Drosophila melanogaster: one gene and its partners. The protein of the gene in region 1 binds, or shares a complex with, the protein of each later gene. Each region holds a gene or a part of one and is shown in the gene's direction. Other genes may lie near its edges.

Region 1 (5,641 bases):
TGCACTTTGTGGAGGATCAAGCCAAGCTGTTGCCCAGCTCCATCAAGGATTTGCAGGCGAGGCGGCATTTCCGCATCCCAGTTGGTCCGATTCTCGCACTGGGGCTTCTGCAATTGCCCGTCTGCATGGTGTACAACCTGGTGATGGCCATCACCACGGACTTCCAGTCCACCACGTATACCACCTGTAATGCCTTCAACATCTTTCCCTCCACATCGGCGGCTGCCAAGTCTCAGCACAAAGTGTGGGCTCTGGCTTGCTACCTGGAGTTCCCATTTCTCATTGCCAGTGCATGGCTGCAGTTCCGATTCTATCGGAGGAATCTGCGCAGGCCGGTCCGAGGTTTCGGCTGCCTGATGGCCATCATTATGGCTGTCAGTAGTTCCAGCGTACTGCTATGGGGCACCTTCCCCCAAGAGGATGGCGACTCATTGCTGCACATAACCATCGCCTTGTCGCTATTCGTATCGTGTGCCATTTACATGGCAGGTTCCTTTGTGTGCGCCAAGTACTATATGAGCGATAGGATTGGGCAGCTGCATGAGGAATTCTCCTTGCGGTTGAAGAGCGGTCTGGTGCTCACCTACTACGTCTGGGTGGTGGTCATGTGGATTTTTTACTTTATACACCAGAAGTTTTGCTTTCCCTTGGGTGAGTAGAACCTAACCGAATGGAAGGATGTCTACAATTCTAATCCCCGGATCCTCTGCAGCCTACTCCGTATTCGGTATGGGCGAGTTCATCTCCTGTGAGTGCTTCTTTATCTATCTATGCACGGTCTACTTTGACTTCTACCACGTCTACATATGTTACGACCAACGTTTGGGTTTCTTCCTCAGCGAGATGTAAACAGTTCCCAATTCCTTATAAAATGTATTAAACAAAAACAAGCAAAAAACATAAAAGGAATGCTTAACGTTACGTCTCGTAGATGCGCACCAGGTCGTCCAGACTGATGGGATAGTGGGTGACCGGGCAGGTGCCGTGCTCCTTCATGTGGCTAACGATGCACTTCCAGCAAAAGACGTAGCCGGAAACGGAGCAGGCAGTGGGCGTCTGGATGGACAGCAGGCAGACTGGGCACTCTCCCCGCTGGGGAAGGCTCTGCTGCACTTCCTTGGGCAGCTGCTTTCTCGGCATCGCTTCGGGATTTATCAGAGTTCCACCCACTTTCCGCCGCTGGTCGTTGGAGTACCACCACTGGACGAACTGCAGGAAGAAGGCCAAGACCTCCAGCATCTTTAGGACCACGTAGGTCCACTGATCCTCTTTGGGAGGTTCGCTGGGATAGCGAAGGGTCAGCCCCAACAATCTGAAGATGGGCGAGTGGTTTGAGGCGTACTTTACGAGGTAAAAGAATGTGTGCGCCGCCTTGGCGGCATGGAAAGCATGGAATGCGCTTAGAAGGCGTTGCTCCCAGGGACTGGTGTCCTCGTGCCTGGTGATCCTGGTCCTTAGCTTCCGCTCCACGTAAGGCATGAAGGTTAGCAGTGTGGCAGAGGCGAACTGCTGCCTGCGGTTCAGCAGATCCCCAGTGGTTGTGACCGTCCTTTGCAATCCGTAAAAGCTCTCACCGAAAGAGGAGGCCCTCTTGCGCAGATACAGGTACTGCAGCAGCCAAGTCAGCAATGGCGACAGCTCCTCCTGAATCCTCAAACTCCCCCATAGTTTAAAGTCCAGGCGTAGTCCAAAGTAGTCGAATATCTTGCTCAGTGCCGGGTAAATCAGGTTGTCCAGCGTCTCTGACGCTGAAATTTCGAAGATCGACGGCACATTTTGAAGGTTCTGGCGCACATTTGCCGCTTCTGCCATTGTGTTTATAGCATTTAAATAAATGGAATTAAATTCGAATACCAATTATGTTGTTATTCTTATCAGTACTGGTGTTATCGGGCTTGGCTTGAAAACAGTCGAGTGCTCATCAATATATCGATAAGTCGTTGGCACCATCGATAGTTGGGTTAATAATCTGGCAAGATTTGTTTATTTTGTGGTGCAGCTTCGTTGTTTATTTACCAACTGTTGAAAATATATACATTTATGAATTATACAAAACCAAGAAGATGAAAACCTCTGGCGCCAGCAATACTGACGAGCTGAACAAGTCATCGCACAGCAAAGTCAGCAAAAAGTCCACTAAGTCGCGATCTAAGTCGGCGAAATTGGAGTTGACTGGAAAGAATTCCCTGTCGGCATCCGCATCATCCTCCATCGCATCCGCAGTGAGCGGGGGCGTTGCAGTGGGCAGCCTGCCGGCCACGCCCACTCACCTAAACATGGTGACAACGCCCACCACGCCAACATCTAGTCTGGGTAACTACAATCTGTTTGACGCCTCATTTGCGGTAGCAGGAAGTGGTGGGCACGGACTTGCAGGCGGCATCGCGGGCGCAGAAGCCTCTGGCAACTCCAGTCGAATGGTAAGGATGCCAATCTCAGGGCCCTCTTATGGTACAAGCTCTCTTTACTGTAGGGTCATCAGAAGAGCTATGCTGGTTTCGATCCGCGCAGCATCAAGATCTTTTGGGAGCAGCACGACCAGACCGATGTGGAACTCTCCCAGGATGTGTGCGCCCGTTTGGCGGAAGATGCCTCCTACAAAGTCTGGGAGCTGATCAATGTAAGTCGACCGTAATACACCTCTTTAATCCCTCTAACCTCTTGATCTCTCAGAATGTCAAAATATACTCGCGCCACTCGGGCGGAGTGGTGACATACGACCTGGTGAACGAAGTGCTAAAAGATGCCGATGTGCCGCCTATGCTGGGTGCGATGGACAGCGACTGGGACCGGATCGACTATGACGGCAGTTTTTACTTTCACTCGGATAAGATCTTCGAGCTGAGCGCGGAGTTTCAGAAGGAAGTCAATCTGTGCACACCTGATGATGCAGACTTTCAGAGCATCTGCCCAGTGGAGGATAAGCACATGGACCAACTAAGACAGTGTGTCCAGAGTCTTGTGACGGCAGCCCTTTTTGCGGACAGCAAATCCCAGACGGCCGCCGTCTGCCATGCTTTTCAGACACCCCTGATGGGATCTATCTACCGAGTGATTGTGAGTAAGATGGTCCAGTTGCTAGCCTTTAAGCAGCAGGACCATTTGAGCCAGCGATGCTGGCGACTGCTCCGAGCATGCAACTACAACGCCACTGCTAATCACAATGCCTGCCGGCCGGAGTACTTCAACCTGGCCGAGGTACTGGTCAGCCAGCTAATGGCACCTTACGAAACTATCAAAGCTCCACACGTCGACCCAGATCCGGGACAAACCACCTCCATCAAAATGGAGTTTGAAGAAGAACTAAAGGTTGAGCCAGACCAGTGCCATAATCCGGAAACCCAGGAAAATCCGGAGGTCATGGGAGTAGAGAAACAGGAGCAAGAACCCCAGATGTTTCCGGGTGAGAGCACCATGGAACACACAATCTACAAGCTGCAATCGGAGGAGGAGGAATTGAATCCTCAGCCGGAGGCGGAACACCTATCCAGCTACTTTGCCTGTCCAGTCGGCAATGGCCTGGTGGACGAGCTGTGTGAAACTATAGGACAGCTGGCATCTCAAAGTGGTTACCTACATGCAGAGTGCCTGTTTTTGATCAAGAGACGCCTAGCGAGATTCTTCGAAGGTCGCCACGTCAGCAGTGAGAGAGGTAAATCATCCTTACAATTTGTTAGCCTGGATCCTTATCTTTGGATTTCTTAATTAAGACTTTAGGTATATCAGTAGAGCAGTGCGCGGTCTCATTGCCCTGGGAGAATATGCCTTTCGTGAGTTTATTCCCTACATCTACAAACTGCGCGTCGAGGAAATCCCGGATAGCCTGTGGCCGGATCTGGCTCCGGCTGCCATCTTCCTTGGCGGTCATGATGACGTATACCTGTATGAATGGCTGGAGTACGGATGCGGTGCTGCTCTGCAGCCCTTCTTGGTCCACTATGCGCGTAAGAAACACCCATGTGTTCCATGAAAAGCGGTTAAGTAACTAAAAATCATTGCAGGAGCCTACGAAAAGATGGTAACCAGACGGTATGTGAAGGCCAAACAACCCGCTTACAGAATAGAATCAGTGCCGGGAGTGCGTCGGTTGGAATGGAGTACTCTTGCGGCAGCCATGTGCCACGGAGACGATCCTAGCAAGGCACTCAAACCGAAGCCTACGCTCTGCGAGGCTTTCCCCGACCTTCAGTCACCAAATCTTCAGCTCAACTGCGCGGGCAACATCCGCTTTAAGTTTGCAGGATGCCGCCCGGTGCTGCTGAAGCCGAAGGTTGCGACTGTTCCCCACTCCGAAGACTCGCCTTCGTCGGCAGCGAACGGTGGTGGGGGTGGCGGTGCCAGCTCCGACATCCTGATCGCCAAACGAAAACTCTTTAAGCCCCTGACCAACGTGAGAAAGTGGTCGCCCATCAGTGGCTATCACTACCTAAGGATCTGAAAGGGACTTGGGAAAGTATTATAAGACCTTCTGGAGGTCCAGGAGGACCTGGGGATCTCAATAAAACTCTTCGTTTACTTTAGACTTCCTCTTCGGTCTTCCGAAAGGTGATACAACTTTACTCGTAATACATAAAAACACAGAACTAAAAGGCTTCTTCCTGAGGCGTATGTCCATTTAGTGAGCCCAAAGCGGGCACGGGCATTCCTGCAGCTTTCATCTCCGCCACAATCCGCTTGTTGATAATGTTTCGGATGTTGGCATTCACATCCGGCAGAAGTCCACCTGTTCGAGCTGCGTGCTCAATTCGCTGGACGACGTCGATTTCGCGGCGCGATGATATCAGGTTCGTGACTAGCGCCTTGTCCATGTTGCCCACCCGACCGATCCTGCCACAACGATGGATATAATCGGAGACGTGGAGCGGAAAGTCAAAGTTGACCACATGTCGAGCTCGTGTGGTATCCAGGCCACGACTTCCCACATCGGTGGTGGAAAGGACGTCGCAGTGACCGTTTTGGAACTGCTCGAAGCGGCCAAGACGGATCTTCATCAGCATATCCCCATTCAGATTTAAGCAGTTCACTCCGCTGTTGTTCAGGAAGATGGAAACGAAGTCACTGGTGGTGGACTTGTTGCTGAACACGATAAGAGGGCGACGTTTGGCAAGATCATGCTTCACGAGTGACAGAAGTGTGGCGGGCCGATCGGCCTTCGACAGCCGCAGGAACTTCTGCGTCACATGAGACATCAGTCGGTGCAGGTGCGGACTGACGACCTCACGGATGGTGTCCACGTCTATGACTTTGTGAAGGATCTCTCTGGTGTTCGTGGGCATGGTGGCCGAGGCCAGGATCATCTGGGTGCCAGCATCCTCCTTTTGCACCAAGTGGAACTGTCGAATAAGAAAAAACAAGCTGATTGAAGCCATTCCTTTGGTAATCGCCTAGAATGACTTACGGGAAATCTCCTGAGGAAGTAGGAAAGTTTGTCTGTGAACGTATCATCTAGGAGGGTGTCCGCTTCGTCTAGAACCAGATGACGAACCTGCTCCATGCGGTAGATGCCAGTGGTCACCAGTTTGCTAAGTGCACCCAGAGTGGCGACCAGTATGTCCACCTCCTCGAACTGTGGGTTCATCATAAGCTGCTTGGTATTGCCGCCAAGTAAAGATTGCACTTTGAGATTGGTGCCCTGGGTGAG
Region 2 (5,028 bases), on another chromosome or scaffold:
CCGCCACCCTATCGCGAACCCTTGCCTGGGACCAACTACGCGGCCAACAGTCGACCCAGCGTCATTACCCAGGCTCCACCCAAGCGAGAACCACCGGAGCAGGCCCACTCTACAGGTGAGAAGTCATATATGCACATTAGTGTCAACGATCATACTAACCTGATGCTTTGATTTGCCTTGCAGATATGGCGATGTGCGACATTGACGAGCACTTCCGACGCTCACTGGGCGAGAACTATGCTGCCCTGTTCGCCAAGAAGTCACCGACGCCTACGCCAACACCCACGCCCTCGCCAAGTGGTACACCTAAGCAGCAGGTTTCGCCACTGGCCTACGGACTGCCTTCATCAACCAGCACAGCGGCATCGCAGCACTACCAGCAGCAACGCTCGCCGCTGGCCAAGTCGGGATGGGTCATTCTGGAGCCCGAATCGCTGCAGCCGGAACTGCCGCCGCCGCAGGAGGAACCGCTTCCCCTGTCGCTGGCACTGCATCGCACCCAAACGCCGCCATCGCCGCCACCTTCGGCCACGGGATCGGCACCAGCGCTACCCACGGCCGTCAGCCAGGTGATGGAGGCAGCGGTGGCGGGCAGGCGGATCCTGGACACGCCACACCACACGCCGCCGAGATACAACACACCACCGCCTCCACCGCCGGCTTACGGAATAGCCGGAACCACCGTTGTGGCGCCGACTTTGACACCGACACCAACTCCGAATCCGACGCCGTCGCAGATTCCCACGCCCACGCCCAGCATGCCGGCCATCATTCGGGTGAAGGCTGAACCGGGACTGGCGGCCGTGGCTGCCTCCTCGACGCAGACGCCGCCCGCTTCGCCCACCTCGTCCACGAATATCTCGATATTCACCAAGACTGAAGCCTCGGTGGACGACCACTTTGCCAAGGCGCTGGGCGAAACTTGGAAGAAGCTGCAGGGCGGGCACAAGGAGTAGAGGAGGAGCAAGCGAGCAAATCACCCACCAACCCGCACACAACCCGATCCCGATCCCGATCCCAATTCCCAACAGAACTCAACACAACCCAACCCAAAAGCAACCCCTGATCCTCAACGATTCAACTCAAGAGCTGTTTTTATTATAAATATTTCAAACTACACAATTAACGTTTAAAGATCTCATGCTGATGTGAACGGAAATTCTTCAACTGCGAGTGTATTACAAGTTTCTGATATAATGATTTTATTGAATATTGATAACGGTTAGCGCGCGGATATAATTATATATATATATATATGAATATTTACATATATATGGATAAATGTGTATGACAAAGTGTATACGTACAAGTGACAAAATTTTGTATTCTTAACGCTTAGTTGGTAGAGACTAATCCTTAATAATATACCTATTAAACATAAGTAAACAATCCTACAAAGTCTGTCTATTCATTCACCGAAAGTGGGAAATAAACTGCAAAATTTCAGATTTTGAATTGCATATTTTGAATTTTCAAATGACTGTTGGGCGGCTAACAGAGCGTTAACAGCGCGCGCCTAACAGCACACAGTGCATGGGCAGCCAATGTGCACACACCACTAACGGCAGACGGAACGGCGACAATGCCATTCACAGCGAACGATAACGATTGTTGGCATTCGCACGGCACGAATCGTACAGTACATTTACATTGCAAAAAAAAGCATAAAACAAAGTTTTAAAACAATTAAAAGCGAGCAATCCTCGGCGTATCATTAAAGAACCAGCCCACTGTTCGCCCCATAACCGCAGCAGAGCGCGCGACCTTGCAAATTCACGGAGCAGCAGCGCCAGAAAGAGAGTTCGTCGGCAGAGGGGCGCAGAGAGAAAATGTCACGCAAAGCAGCAGCAGCAGTGGAAGTGGAAAAAGAGTGAAGAAACCGCAGTAATCGCCATCGGGATCCGATCTCAGTGTCCTCCAGTGCAGCGATTCGTCACACAGACGGACCGAGGAGCACCCCAAAACGATCCTGATGCGGCACAGCCGAGTGCTGAGTGTGGCGAAACTAACCGATGGACAGCAGCAGCAGCAGCAGCAGCCAGCGAAAGTAGGAGACAACAACGGAGCCCTGCGTCTGCGGTCCTAGAAATTCGTAATTCGACGTTCACTGGCAACACGGACACCTGCTAGCGCAATGCGAATGCCGCCGATCCTGGCCAGGATTGTTCGTAGACTGGTGCTTGGATGTCGTCGGTAATTGGGTGCGCCATCCTCCGTTGGATCTCCCCTAGCAATCCGCTGGCACCACCATGCAAAGCCTGGACTCCTCATGCCAAGAAGCCGACGTAAGAACTGTGGCATTTTTCATGCAGCCTGAATACGATTAATTCCCATTTTACACTTTATTTTTCGACAGTTTATTATAAATGACACGCTCAAAAAGTTAAAGGGTTCCAGCAACGCGGACCATGTCCAGGGCCTAGCGGTCCACGCCCACGGTTCGGGTGTCCACCAGACGCAGTTCGTCCAGTACGGCACGTCTGGATCCTCGCCGCAGCTGCAGCCGCAGCAGTCCTACCATCAGCTGCATCCCACGCTCCAGCAGCAGCAGTTCGCCTCCTCGAGCAGCAAATCGTACCTGGAGACCAGCCTATTGCAGGCTATACCACAGATTCCTGCCCAGCCGCCCATTTGTATCTTCGATGACGACGAGTCCCCCACCGAGGGCACTGGCGGCTCACTGGGCAGCCTGCTCACGGAGCCGACCTCGGCCACGCCCAGCGGCCTGCCCACTGCAATTGCTCCGTCGCCCTCCTCGTGCTCATCCTCCACCACAACGATGTCGAACTTCAACTCAATCACGTCGCCGTCGCCGGTGGTGCCCGATCTTCTGCTGTCGACACCGCCGGGCGTTAACTCCAGTCTAAGCAATAGCTCAACGGGAGCGGCCAGTGTGTCCAGCAAGAAGTCCGAGAAGCGGCCACCCTCCGCCAACTCAACAGCCAGTGGAGGCGGCCACCACCTGCACCATCATCACCTCCACCAGACGCACAATCACCATGTCCTGGCATCGCCCACGTCGTCGCCCAGCAAGCGCCAGAAGTCCAATAGCAGTAGCAAGGAGAGCAGCTCCTCTAGTCGCAGCTCAGCTATACCCGCCGCATCAGTCTCCACAGCCACCTCGTCGTCGCAATCAGCGCGCGCTGGCGCCGGCGCTGCCTCCTCCAATAGCAACAGCAAGCCACCTTCATCCGTCTGCCAGTCGGGCAACAGCAAGTTCTTTAATCTGCACGAGAAAATAAGGGACCTGTACCTGCAACTGCTGAGCAACGACCTAAACTACTTTGCCGAGACAGGGGTAAGTGTTGAGCCAATCAAAAGCGGAAACCTTATGTAAGGACTCTTATCACTTTCAGCTAAAGCAGCGCACTCGATCCTTTACACTGGAGCGGTTGGTGGATCGGGAGAAGCTCAACACGATTGTGGTCAACTTGTATCCCGGCAATAAGGGATACTCGCTGGCCCTGCATTATGACGAGCACATGGTGCTAAATCCGCAAACAAACGAATGGTCCCCCACGGACAAGGACGAGACCTCGAGCGATGCTGCGGGATTGGGTACGGGAACGGGCAGTCATCGGAGTCGTCCCAAGCCGCTAGCCCAGGACGAAAGTCAATCCAAGACGGAGGCGGGTCACGCCAAACACGATTTTGGACTCGTGGAGGTGCTTCGGTGGCCCTACGAGAACGATTTGCTGCTGCAATGCATCGATCGTGAAATGCTGCCGGAGTTTTTAATGGATCTACTCGTAGCGGAGACCGTCAGTTTGTCGGATGGCGAGGGAACACGGGTGTACGCCAAGCCTAGCGTCTTCTATGCCGGCTGCGTTATCGCCCAGATCCGCGACTTCCGCCAGACATTTGCCACCTCAACGAATATCTGTGATATGAAGCACATCCTGCTCAGGCCCACGAACGCCACCCTATTCGCGGAAGTGCAGCAAATGGGCAGCCAGTTGCCGGCGGAGGACAAGCTCGCCCTGGAGAGCCAGCTGGTGTTGGCCACGGCGGAGCCGCTGTGTCTGGAGCCGGATCCCAGCATAGGGCGGCAGGCCATCAACTCCCAGCATCAGCGTCAGCTGTACAACTCCCACGAGCTGCGGCGCCAGATGAAGAAGTTCACCCAAACGGCTATCAATCGGAAGCGCAAGTTGGACCAATTCACTCACCATCACGGACTGGAATTGTGCGATTACCTGGCTCGCCTGCGCCAGCGACCGCGGACGGGAAGTAGCAGTGGTGGCGCCAATGCCACACCGGCCACGGCGCCCACCAACAATCCGCTGGTGGGGGCCATGCTCTCTTCGTTCACATCGAAGGTGCCCCGGCGACCACACGAGGTCATACGGCCCATTCGTCCGCCCACACTGGAGTATCCCGCCAATCTGAAGGTGCCCGAGCACGTGATCAGCGTGGAAAAGTATGCCAAGGCCTACGAGCCCCTTAACGAATTCAGTGAGGCCTGCAAGGACGGTTGCCAGCCAAACTGTCGTCATAACTTCCAACCGCAGCTGGTCGAGGAATACATTCTTGAGACGGAGCGGGAGGCGAGTGAAGGCCGGCGGGCTCTATACCACATAAAGCTGTCCATTTTCCAGCGCCCCTCCGATGCAGAGTATCTCGGCGAGCTCTATGTGGACCGAGATTACCGGGAGGGTGAGCGAAACGGCGAGTCGTGCCGCTTTGCGCTGGGCACTCGGGTGCATGCCAATCGATACATTCAACAGTTCCGCGAGATCTTCACCGAGGAGGGACGTAAGGCGGTCAAAATCACGCATTTGATACCCGGGCATATGCCAATTGTGACTCACACGGGATTGACGAATGAGCAGCGGATCCTCTTGCAGCAGCAACAACAGCAGCAGCAGCGTCAAGCTCAAATGCAGCAGCAACAACAACAGCAGCAGCAGCAAGTCGTTGTTGTTGCCAATCAGCAGCAACAATCGCAACAACAACAGCAGACACAACAAGCGGGACAGCAGTTATCCGCCACAGTGCATCATGTTGCACTGCCGCGACAACAAATAA
Region 3 (4,183 bases), on another chromosome or scaffold:
CCCGGGAATCTGGAGCCTATATCGTAGAAAATGCCAAGCATGTTCGTATTCTGCCTGCAGGCATTGAGAAACTGACCCAGGAAATCGTAAAAGGCCTAATAGAAAAACGCATTGCTGTGGAAAACTTCTCGCAGCACGAATTACATCCCAATCCAAATCAGCCGGAGGATTATTCCAAAGCAGCCGACTGGGTCTTTGTGTTGGACACCCTGAACTTTTGCTTTTGGACCCCCAGTGAGTAATTGATATTTATAGCAGCATCCACTATCTTCAATGGTAATCTTCCGCAGATAACTACACCAAATATAAGGTCGATGGCTATACCGGCTACTTTGCGCTGTGTGCTGCGATTAAGAGAGCCATCAAGGAAGGCGTGGATGTGATCAATCCCAAGTTCTATTCCCAGATTGATCTGAAAACCGTGGAGAACATTTTCCGCTCTGACGATGGCGAGACAGTGATTCCGCTGCTCCAAAAGCGTCTGGAATCGCTCCATGAAGTGGGAAAAGTTCTGATCGACAAGTACGACGGCAGTTTTGAGAATGTTATCAAGAAGGCGGAGAAATCGGCAGTTCGCTTGCTGGATCTCGTTGTGGAGGAGTTTCCCTGTTTTCGCGATGAGGCTGAGTTTGCTGGAAAGCGAGTTTCCATCCTAAAACGAGCGCAAATCCTAGTGGGCGATGTGTGGTCCTGCTACAGAGGTCAGGGACTTGGGTTCTTTAATGACATCGATCAGATAACCATGTTCGCTGACTACCGAATTCCCCAGGTGCTAGTGCACTTCGGCAGTTTGGAGTACACCAGTGAGCTAATGGAGTTCCTAAAGACGGATACTATTCTGGAGAACGGCGATCCCCGAGAGGTGGAGATACGCGGCGCATCTATATACATCATCGAACAAGTTAGGGATGCTGTGGTGAAGATACTCAAGGAGCAGCACCCCGAAATCTCACTGGACAACGTCAACTCCATTGTGATCGACCAATATCTGTGGGACTACCGGCGTCGGCACAATGCCGACCTGGAGCACATTCCCTTCCACAAGGTGCTGAGCATCTACTACTAACGACGGCAACACAAATAAAGACGGTTCTTTGTTAAACTGAATTGTCCTTTAATTATCCACACGCGGGGCAATCATCTACAGAGTAACAGGCTTTGGCTTGCCCTTCTGGGAAGCGATGCGCTCGTTGTAGCGCTTCACGGACTCCTCGCGGGAAAGGTTTCCCTTGCGTGCGTAGCGCTGGTTGATCAGAAATTTCACATCCATCTAAAGACGGGAAGGTTGTTAAAATCAACTCTAGATGCTAACTAAATATGCATATTTTTGAATACTTACACCCAGAGTGGACTCGTGGCGTTTGCGCAGCGGGCGCTTGATGCCATTACGATGGGCCTTCTTGTTCTGGTTGTGATTTGTGTGGTTCTTGGACTTGGCCATCTTAAACTACTCCGGGTATCCAAAGATTCGTTGATGGGGCGGCACATGAAAACAGAAAAAATGTTCGCCATTATAATTTTAGCTTGGGGTTAACACTTGGAGTTCACTTTTAGCCAACGCCAGTTGAACAAAAAGCCAACAACTGTTGAAATTTTCGTTGCATTTCTCGTGTATTAGGCACCTACGTTTTTCGCACACTGGAATTCCTAGCTGCAATTGAAGATATTATAAATAAAAATAGCCAATTGGAAAAACGCGGAGCACACTTACGGAAACGCGATGGAAAAGAAGGGAAAGCCAGAGAGGCTGTCATAGAGCGCAGAAAAGGGACTAAATAACGCCAACCACGTGAAGATATCGTGCTGTTATCTGCGTGCTGTTAGGCGCACTTGCTTCCATCTCCAATGTAAGAAACGTAAACAACTTTGAAAAGTAAATATTCGAGTTTGAGAAAAAGATCCACTAAAGTCAAATAATGAGATTATACGGTACAAAAATCTTAACAATAATTACTCTGTTTTACTCTGTAAAATAAAATTTGCTAAGATTAAAAAAATACTGAGGTAAAATATAAAACTATCGCATAGTTAATACTAACGCGTTGTCGACTTTACGCTTATGCTTGTTTTTGTTTTCATTGCGTAGGTAAACAAAGTGTTCAAAAAACAAATTTATTATATTGTTATAATATCGAAACAACATGCCACTGACTGCGGAGAGTGCCGCCCAACAGATTCAGGTAAAGATGTTAACAATAAATGTCGATATATACTATATTTATATGGCATTTACAGGATCGCCTGAAGGACATTCAACAAAACATTCACAATGTGGACGAGGAGCGTCGTCGTGCGGAAAACTCCATTGCTAGTCTGGTGCGATCTCTGCACGCCACCAATCAGAAGGTTAAGCCCCTGCTCAAGGCCAGTTTAACGGAGGCTGCGCAGGAGGAGGCCACAATCCGAGCCGCACTGGCGAAAATCCACGAGATTCGAAGCATTCGCAATGAGAGGCGCATCCAAGGTGGGTTAGTGATGGGATGTATAAACAGGATTTAATCTCGCATATTCCACAGCTCGCAACGCTGGAAATAAGGAGGCCATTCGACGGGGCGCCCTTATGAAAATGGTGCAGCTCTCAGCGCAAACGTTGCCGTTATTCGTTGGCAAACTAGGAGAACGAGCACCAGCTCTATGTGGAGCCATTCCCGCCGAGGGGAACTATGTGGCCAAGGTAAGCATTCATTTTGATTGGACAAAGAAGCTGGGATGATGATCTGACTAATCGGACGCCACTGTATAGGTTGGCGACAATGTTGCCGCATTAGCTAAGGGAATTGATGAGGAGGAGAACTGGATCCTGGCGGAAGTGGTGCAGTTCCTTCACCGTCAAAACAAATACGACGTAATTGACATTGACGAGGAGCAAAAGGATCGCCATGTGCTGAGCAAGCGAAAGGTCATCCCACTGCCTCTAATGCGTGCAAATCCTGAGACCGATGGTCACGCCCTCTTCCCCAAGGACACAGTGGTAATGGCGCTATATCCACAGACCACCTGTTTCTACAAGGCCATTGTCCATCGCCTGCCGCAAACCGCCACCGAGGATTACGAGGTGCTATTCGAGGATTCATCGTACACGAATGGCTATGCCGAACCCTTGCCGGTCGCACAGCGCTATGTGATTGCATATCGTCCAACGAAAAAGGGGGCTGGCAGTGGCAGCGGGAATCTATCATCAGCATAAAAAATGTATTATCTTAACTTTAAGAATTAAATGTAATTGTAATAATAGCTCCAATTAAAATTGTATTCAATTCACAATAGACTGGTTTCTGTCTGGAATAAGAAGAAAGTAATTTCAGGGTGGTATTTTAATACCGGATTTTTTGGAGAACGGTTACATTGATTTCCTAAAAAAAATAAATAGACTTTAAAGTTTGTAGGAAAACAAAGGGGAAAGGCAGGCTTATAAGATGAGTAAAACGAGCTTAGCGACGCAGACCAATGGCACGGCGGAAAATGGAAACTGTTTTGATATCCTCAAAGTGTCTAATTTGTTCGAAACCAGCCTTCTGGACGAGGATGACGTACAATTAGACGCATACTTGGCAGCCTACGAGGAAATAATGAAGTAAACTGAGTGATTATGATGTTTATGTTTTTTAGTGGTGCTCTATTGGGCTTTCGGTGTTCATTAGGTTCTTCCAGCTCATGGGCAGTGTCTTCAGTTTTGTCAGCAGCGATGTGCGCAGTAAAATAGATATCTTATACGCCCTGAGAGCCAAGGACGCGGAGGAGCAGGAACACTTTAATACCTTCAGAACCATGCTGGATTACGAGAAGGAGGCCCAGTTGCTTACTCAGAAGGGTTACGTGTCTGGCAGTCGAACGCTGCTACGTCTTCATCGCGGTCTTGGTGAGCGTTATGCGCATATAACTGCCACAGTGGCTAATTGATTGGTTTCTTCTTATCTAGACTTTGTCTACGAGTTTCTCAATCGGATCCAGGCGATACCCGACGACCAAAAGACTGTGGACGTGTGCAAGGAGGCCTACGATGACACCCTGGGCAAGCATCACTCATTCCTCATCCGCAAAGGAGCGCGCCTGGCTATGTACGCGATGCCCACTAGGGGAGATCTTCTCAAGAAAGTGTGCTCCGATGTCGAGGCGGCCAAAGAGAACCTGCCTTCCATGCTGAAGCATATGAGAACCAACTACGATCGCACAGAAGACCTCT

The links. The genes of interacting proteins can lie anywhere in the genome.
Region 2: Saf6 (region 1) and Spt20 share a complex: the UniProt entries of both Drosophila melanogaster proteins name them as parts of the spt-Ada-Gcn5 acetyltransferase (SAGA) complex.
Region 3: Saf6 (region 1) and Sgf29 share a complex: the UniProt entries of both Drosophila melanogaster proteins name them as parts of the spt-Ada-Gcn5 acetyltransferase (SAGA) complex.

The regions. Positions count from the first base shown.
Region 1 is NT_033779.5:812,254-817,894, reverse strand, and holds Saf6 (SAGA factor-like TAF6), read left to right. Parts: upstream 1-1,944; 5' UTR 1,945-2,063; coding exon 2,064-2,420; intron 2,421-2,473; coding exon 2,474-2,620; intron 2,621-2,673; coding exon 2,674-3,652; intron 3,653-3,710; coding exon 3,711-3,944; intron 3,945-4,001; coding exon 4,002-4,438; 3' UTR 4,439-4,581; downstream 4,582-5,641. Other genes in the region: CG15880 (uncharacterized protein), read left to right, coding at 1-651, 713-849; Pex12 (peroxin 12), read right to left, coding at 919-1,812; Dbp21E2 (DEAD box protein 21E2), read right to left, coding at 4,584-5,333, 5,399-5,641. UniProt on the Drosophila melanogaster protein: Component of the transcription regulatory complex SAGA, a multiprotein complex that activates transcription by remodeling chromatin and mediating histone acetylation and deubiquitination. The SAGA complex predominantly acetylates histone H3.
Region 2 is NT_037436.4:13,501,100-13,506,127, forward strand, and holds the start of Spt20 (Spt20), read left to right. Parts: upstream 1-1,607; 5' UTR 1,608-2,249; coding exon 2,250-2,285; intron 2,286-2,356; coding exon 2,357-3,298; intron 3,299-3,356; coding exon 3,357-5,028. Other genes in the region: Tgi (Tondu-domain-containing growth inhibitor), read left to right, coding at 1-115, 184-956. UniProt on the Drosophila melanogaster protein: Component of the transcription regulatory complex SAGA, a multiprotein complex that activates transcription by remodeling chromatin and mediating histone acetylation and deubiquitination. The SAGA complex predominantly acetylates histone H3.
Region 3 is NT_033778.4:21,291,318-21,295,500, reverse strand, and holds Sgf29 (SAGA-associated factor 29kDa), read left to right. Parts: upstream 1-1,854; 5' UTR 1,855-2,004; intron 2,005-2,059; exon of another isoform or gene 2,060-2,086; 5' UTR 2,087-2,141; coding exon 2,142-2,180; intron 2,181-2,235; coding exon 2,236-2,464; intron 2,465-2,516; coding exon 2,517-2,674; intron 2,675-2,743; coding exon 2,744-3,187; 3' UTR 3,188-3,262; downstream 3,263-4,183. Other genes in the region: CG9752 (uncharacterized protein), read left to right, coding at 1-234, 291-1,066; RpL29 (ribosomal protein L29), read right to left, coding at 1,142-1,270, 1,340-1,441; CG30392 (uncharacterized protein), read left to right, coding at 3,417-3,574, 3,642-3,859, 3,920-4,183. UniProt on the Drosophila melanogaster protein: Component of both the SAGA and CHAT histone acetyltransferase complexes, which both predominantly acetylate histone H3.